Linked DNA regions of Macaca fascicularis. The protein of the gene in region 2 purifies or fractionates together with the protein of the main gene of each other region. This does not show direct contact. Links are inferred from orthologs where the notes say so. Each region holds a gene or a part of one and is shown on either strand. Other genes may lie near its edges.

What was found. Proteins that work in one complex are often made in the same cells at the same time.
Region 1: the proteins of STX8 (region 2) and NAPA purify together in Homo sapiens (affinity purification with mass spectrometry; 4 studies listed by BioGRID and IntAct, with this or other methods). This does not show direct contact. The link is inferred for Macaca fascicularis from reciprocal best matches to the Homo sapiens genes STX8 and NAPA.
Region 3: the proteins of STX8 (region 2) and VTI1A purify together in Homo sapiens (affinity purification with mass spectrometry; 3 studies listed by BioGRID and IntAct, with this or other methods). This does not show direct contact. The link is inferred for Macaca fascicularis from reciprocal best matches to the Homo sapiens genes STX8 and VTI1A.
Region 4: the proteins of STX8 (region 2) and VAMP7 purify together in Homo sapiens (affinity purification with western blotting; 3 studies listed by BioGRID and IntAct, with this or other methods). This does not show direct contact. The link is inferred for Macaca fascicularis from reciprocal best matches to the Homo sapiens genes STX8 and VAMP7.

What each region holds. Positions count from the first base shown.
Region 1 is NC_088393.1:55,512,461-55,515,960, forward strand, and holds part of NAPA (alpha-soluble NSF attachment protein), read right to left. Parts: intron 1,825-3,500; coding exon 1,747-1,824; intron 1,509-1,746; coding exon 1,453-1,508; intron 1,380-1,452; coding exon 1,295-1,379; intron 468-1,294; coding exon 363-467; intron 1-362. UniProt on the Homo sapiens protein: Required for vesicular transport between the endoplasmic reticulum and the Golgi apparatus. Together with GNA12 promotes CDH5 localization to plasma membrane.
Region 2 is NC_088390.1:9,594,952-9,598,451, forward strand, and holds part of STX8 (syntaxin-8), read right to left. Parts: intron 375-3,500; coding exon 250-374; intron 1-249. UniProt on the Homo sapiens protein: Vesicle trafficking protein that functions in the early secretory pathway, possibly by mediating retrograde transport from cis-Golgi membranes to the ER.
Region 3 is NC_088383.1:121,710,711-121,714,210, forward strand, and holds part of VTI1A (vesicle transport through interaction with t-SNAREs homolog 1A), read left to right. Parts: intron 1-238; coding exon 239-309; intron 310-958; coding exon 959-1,020; coding exon of another isoform or gene 1,021-1,024; exon of another isoform or gene 1,025-1,031; intron 1,032-3,500. UniProt on the Homo sapiens protein: V-SNARE that mediates vesicle transport pathways through interactions with t-SNAREs on the target membrane. These interactions are proposed to mediate aspects of the specificity of vesicle trafficking and to promote fusion of the lipid bilayers.
Region 4 is NC_088395.1:161,936,688-161,940,187, reverse strand, and holds part of VAMP7 (vesicle-associated membrane protein 7), read right to left. Parts: intron 3,174-3,500; coding exon 3,116-3,173; intron 695-3,115; coding exon 557-694; intron 1-556. UniProt on the Homo sapiens protein: Involved in the targeting and/or fusion of transport vesicles to their target membrane during transport of proteins from the early endosome to the lysosome. Required for heterotypic fusion of late endosomes with lysosomes and homotypic lysosomal fusion.

The DNA of each region.
Region 1 (3,500 bases), on a different chromosome or scaffold from region 2:
CTGGAACGCTGGGGCTACAGGTCCCTAGCCATGTGGCCTCAAACAAGGGACTCTGGTCCCAGCCTCACCACCTTCACTTGTAAGACGAGGTGACAATGGTGCTGACTTTAATGGGATGCAGCGAGGATTCAAAACGTGCACCCATGAAGAAAAGAGCACTAAGTGAGGCAGGAGCTGGACCTACAAAAGCCTCCAGGGCTGGGCGGGCAGGTGACTCCAGCACAGAAACATAGCTGTGAGATTCACACTTCTCATCCAAAGGCTGCCTGGCAGGGGCCAGACGTGAGGGAGGAGCACGTCCATCTTGGGGGGTAACAGGACCTGGCCTGGCGCGGTGGTCTGGTGGGCATGGGGCGTGCTACCTTGGCGTTGAGCATGTCGATGCAGAAGTGGCAGAGGGCCGCCTTGAAGAAGTAGTCTTTGGCACTGTACTTGAGGAGGGGGCTGTCCATGGCATTGGTCCCCACCTGTAGCCATGGGGAAGTGGCACTGTGAGCTCAGGGCAAGCAGTCAGAGGGCTAGAGCCACTGCCAGGCACTGGGGGGCCAGCTGGGAGCTGGGTCCATGTCCCAGGGTGAGGCCGTTAACCCAGGACCCCAATGGCAGGGAGCCAGGGACTGGCTTGGGGAGATCAGTGGCCAGTGCATAAGCGACCAAGACCAGGGTGTGATGGTGGCTGGGTGGAGGTGGAGGCTGTAGCCAGGTGTTCGAGGGCTCCCAAAAGCCTGAGACAGTGGGGAGGTGGCGGCCTGGCTGTCACGACCAACGGGAGGCTGGCATGGCAGTGGGCAGAGGGGCGGCAGGAACATGAGAGGCGGCACCCACCCTTCTCTCCCCAGGGGCCAGCTGCCTGCCTTTTTCTTGGCCATCACCCAGGGCTCCATGCACGCTGGGGGGACCCCATGTGACACTCCCTCCCTCCCACTGTGGATGAGGACCATCGTGCCATGGGGTGGGGTGCCCACAGCCACCCTGGGCCTCTTGGCACTTCTTCCCGTTGCCTCCCTCTGGGTTCTTTAGCCAGCCTCGCTCTGGGCCCCTCCAGGAAGCTCTGTGAGGGGTGTGGGAGGGGCACAGCCAGGGAGACGGTGCTGACACGGCATGGAGTCGTAGGTGGAGAATGTTCAGCCAGACTGAAGATGGGGTGGGGGGATGACATGGCAAGGGCTGTGCGGGAAGAGGCAGAGGGCGAGCCAGGGGAGGGGTGGTTCCAGAACAAGGCGCCGGGGCTTAGGAAGAGGCACAGGCTCTGGGAGGGGGCAGGATGGGGGCCGCCATCCCCACCTGTCCCCACCTGCTCGTAGATGTCAATGGCCTTCTGATACTGCTCCAACAGTGCGGCGTAGCCAGCCACCTTCAGCAGACACTTGTTGGCTGAGCTGTGTGGGAAGGAGGAGTGAGGGGAAGTGGTGGTGGTCCCTGAGGGGCTGGGGCAGGCAGGAAGGGGGCTACCTGTTGGACTCTTCGCCTTTGTAGTAGTCTGCGGACTGCTCGTAGTGGGCGATGGCCTGGGGAGACATGGGGGATGGGTTCCAGGGGAGGGCAGGGGAGGGAGAGGAGGTCTCCATGAAGCTTCCATACCCTTCGCCCTGCCCATCTGGGACACAGCCAGACCCCGTTCTCCAAGCTCTGCCAGCGCCCCATGCCCCCTTCTCGGCACTCAGACACCAGAGGACTCCTCTGGTGGGAAGAGAGAGCAGCGCTGGTCTTGGCTGCCAGCCCAGGAAGGGCCCTGCTGCCACTCACCTTCTCGATGTCTACCAACTCCGTCTCATAGATCTCAGCAATGGAGATGTGGTGCTTGGCCGCAATCGTGAATCGGCCCTGGAGGGGACACGGGAAGGGACTGCCTGTGACTCATGACCTGCATGCCCTGTCCTGCACCCCTGCTGACCCATGACCCTTCAAGTTCCTACCCCTCAGCCAGGCCTGTGAGGAGGTATGAAGAAAACACTGAGAGGAGGGGGAACACAGGGGTGAGAAGGGAGGGCCCCAGCACTAGAGGCCTGGCTGTGCGTGCTGGGCTGAGCTGGTGACCTTGGACAAGCCACTCCAGAGCCTCAGCCTAATTTCATCCTGTCCATGAGGGCACAGATGGTGTGACACCAGAGAGGATGTGAGCACGAGCACTTGGCCAAGGCCCTGGCCCTTAGGAAGCCTCTGATAGCAGCCAGAGAGGCGGAAGGACCAGCCCAGAGTCACTTGGCAAAAGGATTTGGAGAAACCAGGATGGGAGGGAGGACTTGAGACCCCTGCCCAAGAGTACTAGCTCTGCCCCCAGGCCAACACCTACCTGTCAGCCTCTCCCATGCACACCCAGAGCTCCCCAGGGAGGCCTCAGGTTCTGAGGGGCCTCGCACCTTCCATCCGCCTCCACCCAGTGTCCAGGCGCTTGCCTGACTGCTCTGCCCCAAGGGCTGGTCCAACGCCACCCCCTTGCTGAGGGCAGTAGGAAAAGGCAAGGTCCTGGGCTCAGCCAGACCTTGTTTTGGGTCTCAGTGACTCCTGCTTGTAGCCGCGTGTCCCTGGGCAAGTCATGTCACTCGTCTGAGCCCCTCTCCTCCACTATGGAATGGGGATGACAATAATGCCAACATCACAGGGCTGTGGATTAAACCACCCTGCAGTGTCTGGCATAATAAATGGGAGCTGCTATTATTGTTCTAATCACAGTCATCCCTGCAGCATTGCCCTGAACACAAGGGGTAGGGCTCGTGCCCCTGCCTGGGGTTTGAGAGCTGAGACAGGGCAAGCAGAGAGACAAAAAGGAGCTGGCCAGGCGTGGTGGCTCACGCCTGTAATCCCAGCACTTTGGGAGGCCAAGGCGGGTGGATCACTTGAGGTCAGGAGTCCGAGACCAGCCTGGCCAACATGGTGAAACCGCATCTCTACTGAAAATACAAAAATTAGCCGGGCGTGGTAGCACACGCCTGTAATCCCAGCTACTTGAGAGACTGAGGCACGAGAATTGCTTGAACCTGGGAGACAGAGGTTGCAGTGAGTGGAGATCACGCCACTGACCTCCAGCCTGGATGAGAGGGACAGACTCTGTCTCAAAAAAATAAATGAAAGAAAGAAAAGAAAGAAAAGAAAGAAAAGAAAGAAAGAAAGAAAGGAAGGAAGGAAGGAAGGAAGGAAGGAAGGAAGGAAGGAAGGAAGGAAGGAAGGAAGGAAGGAAGGAAGGGAGAGAAAGAGAGAGAAAGAGAGAGAGAAAGAAAGAAAGAGAGAGAGAAAGAGAGAGAGAGAGAAAGAGAGAAAGAAAGAGAGAGAAAGCACTGACAGGAGCCCTGGCCTGGGTGGAACCCTTCACTCTGGCTCCGGTTGGCAGCTGCCCATCTGGTCTGCATCTGTCATTGGCAAAGCCCCCTGGGACAGGACAGGTGGTGAGCCTCCTGTGGGCTCTGCCTATCCCTGTGGCCTGCTGCAAGAGGCTTATCAAATAATACGACACTTGTGGGAAGGCTGGGCAAGGGAAAGTGCCGGACACACTCTCTCCAGTA
Region 2 (3,500 bases):
TAGGGTGAAACCCTGTCTCGACTAAAAAAATACAAAAAATTAGCCAGGCATGGTGGCACGCGCCTGTAGTCCCAGCCTCTCGGAAGACTGCGGCAGGAGAATCGTTTGAACCCAAGAGGTGGAGGTTGCAGTGAGCCAAGATCACGCCACTGCACTCCAGCCTGGGTGACAGAGAAAGATTCTGTCTCAAAAAAACAAAAAAAATTCTGGCAAGGTTTCTGAGCCCACACTCCTCAGGGTATTTGGTACCTTGGATAATTTTCTGCTGCTGTTGCCGGATTTCATCAAAACCCAAGCCTCTGGTCTCCTCTGGCTCCTCAAAGAGCCAAGGGTTGGGTGCTCCTCGCTTAGCCTCTTCACTCATCAGGCTGGACCTAAAGAACAATATTAAACGATATTGATATATCTCAAAACATGCAGCTCAAATGCAAATTACTCCCACCAAGTGCAGAGGTGGCCAGCCTTGAATGCTTTGAAAATTCAATTCAAACACAATTTATTGCATCCTGAGTTTATGCCAGGAACTGTATTCAGTGCTGGAAGAGATACAGGGATGAATAGGCACAAGCTTGGTCCTCAGAATTACAGCCTGTTATAGAGATGATGAGAGAACATAATATTTGTACTAATCCTCTAAGAAATGTTTGAGTTAATCCTAAGAGAAGTTGGTAATAAATGAGGTTCTTAAATTTCAAAAACAGAAGGCTAAACAGTAGCCTTTTTATTAGGACAAAGTTTGTCTCAGAGGCTATGTGACCCCAAAGGTACAAATATTATTTCTCAAGCAGATACAATGTTGCGACTACAGATTACAATGTTATTTTTTTTATTTTTATTTTTTTTAAAGAGACCACATAATTTCCCATTAAAGGATATTTGGAGCCAGGCGTAGTGGCTCATGCCTGTAATCCCAACAATCTGGGAGGCCGAGGCGGGCAGATCACCTGAAGTCAGGAGTTCCAGACCACCCTGGCCAACACGATGAAACCCTGTCTCTAATAAACACAAAAACAATTAGCCAGGCTTGGCGGTGGGCATCTGTAATCCCAGCTACTTGGGTGGCTGAGGCAGGAGAACTGCTTGAACTGGGAGGCAGAGGTTGCAGTGAGCCAATATAGCGCCACTGCACTGCAGCCTGGGTAGCAGAGCAAGACTCTGTCTCAAAAAAAAAAAAAAAAAAGGAGTATTTGATTGCTCACAGACACAGGCAGGGTTTCAATACCAATTTTGTGACTTTAATGTAGCATTCATAACAGAATAAACACATTCTGATTTGTCAATCTTAACCTTACTCCCTCTAACAATCCATGTGCCCTTTCTGCACCAGATCAGTTGGTCTCGCTATCTAAGGATCAGGAAACACATGATTTCCACCTCAATCCCCATGTTTTCAGGATTCTCCTCCTCTCAAGTAGCTCCTCTCCTCTCCCTGCCTGTCCACATTCTGTCCAAGCTGAGAAGACCATCTTGTCCAGGACACCACCTTCTGACCACTTCAACGAAGAGATGAACATTCACTTTAGAGCTCTCATCAGATTCATGAAAAATCATAGAATAAATGGTGGGTGGGACATCAGCAAGATGGCTGATTAGAGGCACCTGGTGCTCACCTGCCCCCCACTTTCTTACGGAAGGACAAAGGCAATGAATAAACAGCTAAGATTTGACTTCAGTGTGGGAAAGCACTGGACTGCAGTGGGGAAGTGGAGAGGCCCCTGTGGTGATTGAAAGTCTAGAAGGGCAGCATGAAGGCCCCCAGCCTCCGTGGCCCCATCTCTTCCACCAGGATTGGGTAGGCCTGGACATATGAGGGCCTTCTCCCTTTGAGGAAAAGGTAAGCAGGAGATTTCCACCTGCCTCCACTGCCGCGGCAAACACCTACAGTCCCTACTACAGGAGGATCCCCCAGTCCTTGCAAGTTCTGAGCCCAGTTTGGAGAGCTGCTGGGAATTCGTACAGTCGCACTGCCCCAGATTAGGCATATACCCCACTCCCCACCCACCCCATGAGCCAAGTTACTACAGCATGGCGCCATCTTCAGACCACAGCTCCCTCTGGAGTGTGCCTTCCTCTTGGGGCCAGTAGCCACTGCACCTTTCCAGCACTGGGACTCCATCTTCATGCCACCAAACCTACACAGGTGGCTGAACTCCACACCCCAGGCCCCAGGAATGGCTGTGACTCTGGTCCTGCACTGAAGGAAAACCACCATCCTCACTTTCAGCCACAGAAACAGTCCCACCCAGGGCAAACCACTCTCGAGCCAACCAAACTGCTGTATACCCCCCTGCAAGCAGAAGGCCTGTGCAACTGACAGGCTAGCACAGTGACTACACTTCTGCATCCAGGATCTGTGACACAGTCGGGCAGTGCAGCCCCCTACAGACATGCCCCCAGCCTACCGAAAGGCTCCCCACCTCAATCAGGGCCTGAGAAACAACCCTGCAGGATGCCCCTGGCAGACATAACCCCAAGTCAGCCAAGTGGCCCTATGTCCACATCCCAGGCCTGAAAAACAGTCCATGGGTTACCCCCAGCAGCAACTCCCCTAGGCCAGCTGAGCAGCCCTGTGTTCACATCCCAGGTCTGAGATGCAACTCCTCAGGCCACTCCCGGCAGACATGCCCAGAGGGCTGTCAAGCAGCCTTATGCCCACCTCTCATGACTGAGAAATAGCCCTGTGGGCTGTCTGCAGCAGGCATTCCCCCCAGGAGAGCTGAGCAGCAGTGTGCCCATGTCCCAAACCTGAGAAACAGTCCAACAGGCCACCTCTGGCAGGCATACTCCCAGCCTGGCCAAGCAACCAAGCAACTGTGCCCTCAGCCAGAGTAAGGGAAGCAACCCCAACCCCAGCAAGTGAGACCCCAAGTTGGACAACCCACCATGTGAATGCATGCATCGTTGACCTGACAAATAGCCCAGTGAGCACATCCCTGGCAAAGTCATGCCACCACCACCACAAAGCCTCTCAGCTGAGGCCACTGAGACACTCACAAACATCACTAGCATGGATTACACTTGAAGAAACTATACAAAAACTACACTACTATGCCCACCTGGAACCAAAACCAATGCATCCCACTAAACCAACACCCCAAGATCCATTCATATGAATATTTCTTTCCCTGCAAAACCTACTGCATAGAATTGGAAGAAGCAACTATTCCACCAGATGCATAGAAATCAACATAGGGATACATCGAACATGAAAAAGTAAGGAAACATGACACCTCCAAAGGAATACAATAATTCCTGTGTAATAGACCCCAATGATAGAGAAATATACAAAATGACAGAAAAAGATTTCAAAATAGTAATGTTACAGTGAGATACAAGATAATAGAGCTAGACGATTTGATGAAATCAGGAAAACAATTCATGACTTGAATAAGAAATTCAACAAGAAGATAAATACCATAAAAAAGGACAAAACAGGTATCCTAGAGTAAAATAATTCAATGAATAAACAAATACAAGCTAGAAGCTTTACCAAAAGAATA
Region 3 (3,500 bases), on a different chromosome or scaffold from region 2:
TAAGTCATTATTCTCATGTTGGTTATGTTCTATAGGTCAAATATCTAATTATACCTAAGATAAATAGACACATTTATCAAATACTGTTTATATTTTTCAAATACATGAATTGAAATACGTGTCTAATGTATAATGCATGCATGCTACTTTAACATTTTATGTCATTTGGGTACTCCTGAGAGTTATTCTCATGTGCACTCCGAGTCATTTTTCCTTACTCAGATTTTCTTTTCCATAGAGCAAATTGGTCAGGAGATGTTGGAAAACCTTAGTCATGACAGAGAAAAGATACAGCGAGCACGTGAAAGAGTAAGTATAAGTGATATAGTTTTTTCACATATTCAGTAAATGAAGACATAAATGAAAGGCATTGGGACATAAACAGTAGCAATTAGGTAGTTATATGTATCTAAGGTGAAAGAGGGTGTAAAGTCTGTGGAAAGGAAAAGAAAGAGAGTGACATGGAGCAAATAGCAGCCGACTCTATGTCCCCATCCCAGAATGCTCCCAGGTGGGTATTTTATTTACTTCTTATAGAGGAGAAGGTCACTGAGGGAGATTTTGGAGTATGTTCATCTTTTAGAGTGAAAACTATAGAATTATTGGTGGTCATCTTTTCTCAATTCATATTATTTTTATGTTTTTAGGACTGCACATTCATAAGTTGGAGATGAATTACCAAATGTTTATGAAACTTTTTCAGCCTGTGCTTTGCTTTTATATCTGGTTCTAGTATCCAGCTTAAAGCTCCCAAGATTACCTCTCATGTGTCATTCTCCAAATATAAGAATTTTCCATGTTTGTGTAGCTGTCAGAAATGTATTTATTTTTGTATATTTGAACATTTTTATTGTTTGGATTTTCTACCGTGAAATAAATTGTCACTTGCCATGCACTTTAGAAATAGTCTAATTGCATGAACTTTTGTTTTGTTTTAACATTGCTGTTCTTCTTGTAGCTTCGGGAAACAGACGCTAATTTGGGAAAAAGCTCCAGGATTCTGACGGGGATGTTGCGAAGGTAAGAGCAAGGTAGGGACCCATCTTTCTCTCTGTCTCTTTTTAAAACTATTATGTTTTCATTCAATTGCAACGGGGCATATTACATGCTTTTAAGCTTCTGCTCTTAGTGCCCTGTGTCAGGACCCGTTTGAAATAATAAAGCACTGATATTAACTCTTATTTGGACAGGGACACATAGTAACACAGATTAGAGAGAAAGCTTGAGCTAGGGGGGTAACCTGAAGCTATGGAAAAAATTAGGGTTAGACATGAAGTGTTTTTTCATAGCCTGAGGAAGGCCCCATGGCAGGAGCAGGCTGATTTTATTTTCTATTTTGATGGCCTCCTTCTTATGGAGGGAATGCAGACCTACCATTTTCAGGAGCACAGTTGCTGTTAGTTTTGCTCTGTGTTGCCTTGTTTTCATTTCTTTAAGTGACACGGTTTGGGGAAACATTTCTGTTTTATGTATACACTGAAAGATGATTTATAAAACGTCAAGATTATCTGAATAATATGTGCTAACAAACAAATGTTCATGTTTTATATGTGTAACTCAACCTTGATTGATGAAAAATATGCTAAATAGTATGAGAAAATAAATGAATGAATGCAGGTAATGTTCTTATAAGTACATTCAGCGCAAAATTATTTCACATTCAGAATCTACCACATAAGAATATCATCTAGCATGACTGTCAGTTTGGAACTGTGGATAGAAAAGTGAATGAGAAACATTGAGAATGGCCTCTGGAATAGCTTAATTAGAATTTTTAAGAAGGAAATCTTTATAGTTGATACTATAAAGACAACCATCTAAAAATAACTAAAGTCTTCTTTGATCACGTATCCATATACAATAGTTTGCTAAAAGTATGTTTGCCGTGTTACAGATTTATTACATAAGAATCAATCAAATGTCTAGTGGTTTGGTCTTCAAGACTGTTAAGATTTTTCTAAGTAGCCTGACCAGTAGCAAGCTTAAAGTTCCTGGGACATTTCCAGCCAAGGCTTGCATAATATGACATTCCTTCTCATTTTCTTGGACCCTGACTCCCAACTCAGAATCATAAGCCATCAAATTCTCTGATTAAGAGTACTAGGTAAATGGCCTAAGAAAAACTCAGAATTCAGAGAGAAGGGTAGTGGTGATTGAAAGGAATGCTTCAGTGCCTATAGACAATAAAAAAGAAAGGAAGGGGAGGGAAAAACCTCTGTTGCTTTCCTGGGAGGGCTCCTGCGTCGTGAGCTGTAACGAATATTCTGCATATGTCTCCATTTTGTCAAATCTCATTAAAGAGTCCTCCTGCTTTATGTCAATTGAGCTGTCCAGAAATCATTCATCATTTTTAGTGTAAAAAAAATGATGTGGTTATTTAAATAATATCATATTAATGTTAAAGTTCAGCTGTCATTTAATGGTATGGCTTAATCAGATGTAGCATTTAGGAAAAATAGTTTATGCGGGCTCCACGTGGCTTTCAGGTTGGCAGATTCAAATAAGGATTTATGGGTTTCGAAACCAATGTATTTCTGTCCATGTTTCTGCTTGATGTACCTCACCCTTTAGTGCAGGACACTGCAGACAGTTATTTCAACAAATAAAGCATCTCCTCATATTGTGTTTGAATAAATTTGCAAGTCATTTAGAGAGGGCGAAGCACAAACAACTTCGGCAACCTTTGACTGGGCTTTCTGTAGGGAAATCATAATAACGTGGTTGTTTCAGAAGCCTACGGAAGAAAATTACTCTGGTGAAATCTACATGGGGTTCTCTTTGTAAGCAAACTCAGTCAATCACTGACTCATCTTCTTTTGGGATGTGTCTAGAGTATGAACAGAAATAAAAATTCCCAGATGGACATCACCTTGCTACATCTGAACCAAGGGTACGCTTAAGTCCACCTGTTCATATGCATGACAATGTTTTTCACTAGGCACAGCTGGGATCTTGGTATCAGCCAGGATATTCAGATATTTTCAACCAATGCCTTGACCTGGCAATGGTCTCTGGGGACCAAATGCAGTGGTGGTTTTGTTTTAGTTTCTAATTACTGCCCCATATGATATACAATGTATTTTGGACTTGGGAAAAGGTACAAACATTTTACCAACCTCTCTGCTTCATTATTTTGGTTATCTCATGGAAAAGCTCTCTGCAGAGAAATAGAGGCAGGGTTTATGTACCAAAGCCTCTTATTGAATGCTCTGATTTTGCTTTCTCTGTTACATCCCTCCCATTCATTCATATGGCTTTCGCTTCCAGCCCTGGTGAGCTTGTATTTCAGAAAGAAAAGCCACATTCTCTTACTATTCTTCTTACCAAAACTGCATAGCTATGTCGTGTGTCAGCAAGCGCTTCTGATTTAGGAAATGCTATGATACTGAATCGTGCTCATCTGCTACCTTCACAAATGTGTAAAAGAAATGAATGTCCTCATTGTGCAGTGCAAGCATTTACCTGCATATAACATAAGCTTAATTATTTTCATATGATGA
Region 4 (3,500 bases), on a different chromosome or scaffold from region 2:
GAAAACAGATCAGTGGTTGCCTGGGGCAGAGTGTGGGGGAGGGGACCGACATAAGGGAATTTTTAGGGAGATTAAAATGCTGTCTTGAGTACAGTGGTATTTCACAGGTATAAACACATGTAAAACCTCACGAAGCTGATAATTATGGACTCATACAGATGAAGAGAGTTTCAAATTATTAATTTGGGTTGTTAGAAAATTAAATTTGCCTCATGGAAGGGTAGAAGGTTTATGTACAGGTTAAAAGATCATTTGGCATGTTGAACACATTTAAGCATCAGATGGGTAGTTGAACTAGATGATCTTTAATGCTCTTCCGATCATGAGACACTATGACCACTATTAATAGAGAATACAGAGATAATAAAGAATATCACTGTTTTCTACCCTAAAATTGCTCCTTTACATTTTTTTTAATCAGGCAAGTTTTATTATGTTGACTTACAGTAACACAATCAGAAAACTATATTGCAGGTCAGGGCCCCCTAGATTCATAGCATTTGAAGGTAATAAAGAAGATAAAAATCAAAATACCTTATCCTGAGAAAGATCTTACCAGCTGTGCAGCCAAGACACTGGAGAACTCGCTATTCATGGCATATGGAAGTGCTGTCTGTGCTCTTGAACCATAAGTAGTCTGGAACCTCTTCTTTATCTCATTCAGAAAATTAAAGGCTCGAGAACGTTCAAAATCCTGAAAAGAGATCAACACAGAACTCACATTTAGAAAGTAAACAAAGATGATGTGAGTGATTAAGAACAACAATAAAAAATAGCTAACATTGATTGAGCAATGATTCTATGAGGAGGAACTAGCAATGATCCTATCTTAAAGATAAGTAAAGGAAGGCCCTGAAAAAGTAACTAACTTGTCCAAAGGTCCAACAACTAGTAAATGAAAGAGCTGAGAGTGAATCCAGATATATCCGGTCATTGACAACTGAAGATAATGATAATTATCAACTTCTTGACATCAGGAATTGGGTTTTACTTCCTCCATATATTTTACAGGATCTATTAGAAGGCCCAGCACAAGAATATGTTTAATAAATCCCATAATAATCATACAGTCTTTCATACACACAGATAATACTACTGATATTAACTTCAAATTGAATTTTTTCAATAGTGGTGGTACATTTGAAAAGATCAAGTGACATACTCATGTCTAATCTCAGCCAGCCAAAAATTATGTGTGTTCTCTAGAAGAATACCTTAGAGGAAAAAAATGAATGTGTGTATGTGTGTTTATGTATGTATGTGTATGTGTGTATCAAATTACAGCTCAAGAAATACGAGGCTCGACTCTGACTATCCCAGATTTCATTATTATTTTTTATCTACTCCAAGCTCTTTCACATCAGTCATTTCACATATAGCTGGATTTTTTTCTACTTTTGGAAAATATTGTGAAGCCAGAGATAAAAATCATTGTGATGATCACTATGGTTGACAGTCATTTCCCTTTCACCCAAGATGCTTAGTCTAAGCCGAGGGTTCTTAAATTGGGGTCAATGGTCCAAATTCAAGGGGCCCTTGTACTTGGATAGAAAAAAAGATCATCACATCATTATTTTTATCAATTGTTAACTTATATTTCAATTGTGAATATAGGTAGTATATTCATAACCAAGGTAGTATTAACAGTACCTGTAACTATCACCAACAGAAATCTTTTTTCATATACCATCACAGTTATAGATATCTCAAAATATTGTTAACACCCATCACATCAAGATTATTAGTTATTAGACCCACGACTAGACCTTGTTAATGAGTTAATAAAGAAGCATATATATGACTACATCAAGTTTTTAAAATATTTTGAAAACTACATATATATATATTTCAATACAACTGGCTTTGTTAGAATTGTGTGTGTTTTATACATTTAAAAGCATTCTGGAAAAGGAAAATTAAAAAAAGAAAACAAAAGCATTCTGGGAGTGTTCCACAAGTGACGAGTCTGTGATACAACAAAGATTAGGAACCCTGATCTATGGCAACCATGCCAATTCCATGTCTCTTTGTCAGTAGACAGTTTAGAAATGAGCATGCAGCCAATAAGACATGAAAGGAAGTTCACTTTGAAAGAAGGGGGAGGGGAGGGCATGCAGCTGGGAAAAGCTTCCTCATTCCTACAATAAGACACTCAAGAAGACACAGTCCCTCTTCTCTGGACATGAATAAATAAGTATGTAGCTCTACATAACCATAATGGCAACCTGTCTGGGAAGAAGGAGACACGGAGGAAAGCAGAGAAGAGAAAGGACCTTAATGACATCATTAAGTTACTGAGAATTTTGGGCTGAGAGCCGACAGTCATACCTAGCCAATGTAAACTACAGGTTTATATAGCTGATCATAATGTACTGTAATTTTGTTTTTCCAAAGTTCACACACATGAAAGAATTCATTAACTACTGATAGAAGGAATGACGTTATCTAATTTAACATTCCAGGTAAACAATTTTTGAGAGGTTTTGATATCAAAGAATTATAATTATGAACACCAATTCTCACTACAAAATAGAATATAGAAGTTGCAACAGGCTAAGCTAAAACTCTACCAAAATCGAACTGATTTGCACATACCGCAGTATCAAGTTTTCTTATCATTTGCTGCTCTATATGACAAATGCAAAATATTAACAATTCCAGCTATGTAAAGTTCGCATCACCTTTGCCCACCATAGGTACAGATCAGCAGTCCCCAACCTTTTTGGCACCAGGGACCGGTTTTGTAGAAGACAATTTTTCCAAGGACTGGGGGAGGGGGAATGTTTTCGGGATGAAACTGTTCCACCTCAGATCATCAGGCATTAGTTAGATTCTCATAAGGAGCATGCAACCTAGATCCCTCGGATGTATAGTTCATCACAGGGTTCGCACTCATATGAGAATCTAATGCTGCTGCTGATCTGATAGGAGGTGGAACTCAGGTGGTAATGCTCATAGGCCACTCACCTCCTGCTATGTGGTCTGGTTCCTAACAAGCCACAGACCTGTACCAGTCTGCAGCCTGGGGGTTGGGGACCCCTGGTGTAGATAATAAAGAACTGGCTGTATTAATAGTACACATAGTTAAATAGCAATATGTCTTCAAGTTACTTACATCATCAGTGATACAAAGATATACAATCCTGTCTTGGCAGATGTAATGAAACAAATAACTGTAGAATAAAAGATATAAAACTTACTGTGGTTATAAGCAACATCACTTTTACTTCTATCTTCTATCTATGTATAAGCAAGTTCAGTACTGCCAATGTCACCACATTACTTACGGATACAGTCTATTCTCCCTCTTCCCCTTCCCAATATACCTGTTTCTTTCAAGTCAAACTGAGAGAAGTAAATAAGAAATAAAAGGAAGATCTCTATTCTAGCTACATAGCACAACAGCATGTGTATTACCCATTAGAACCACAGCTGCAAAAGCATAATTGGACTCTCAAAGCATGAACAAGAGATGACATCTTAGGAGGAGCATGTAATTA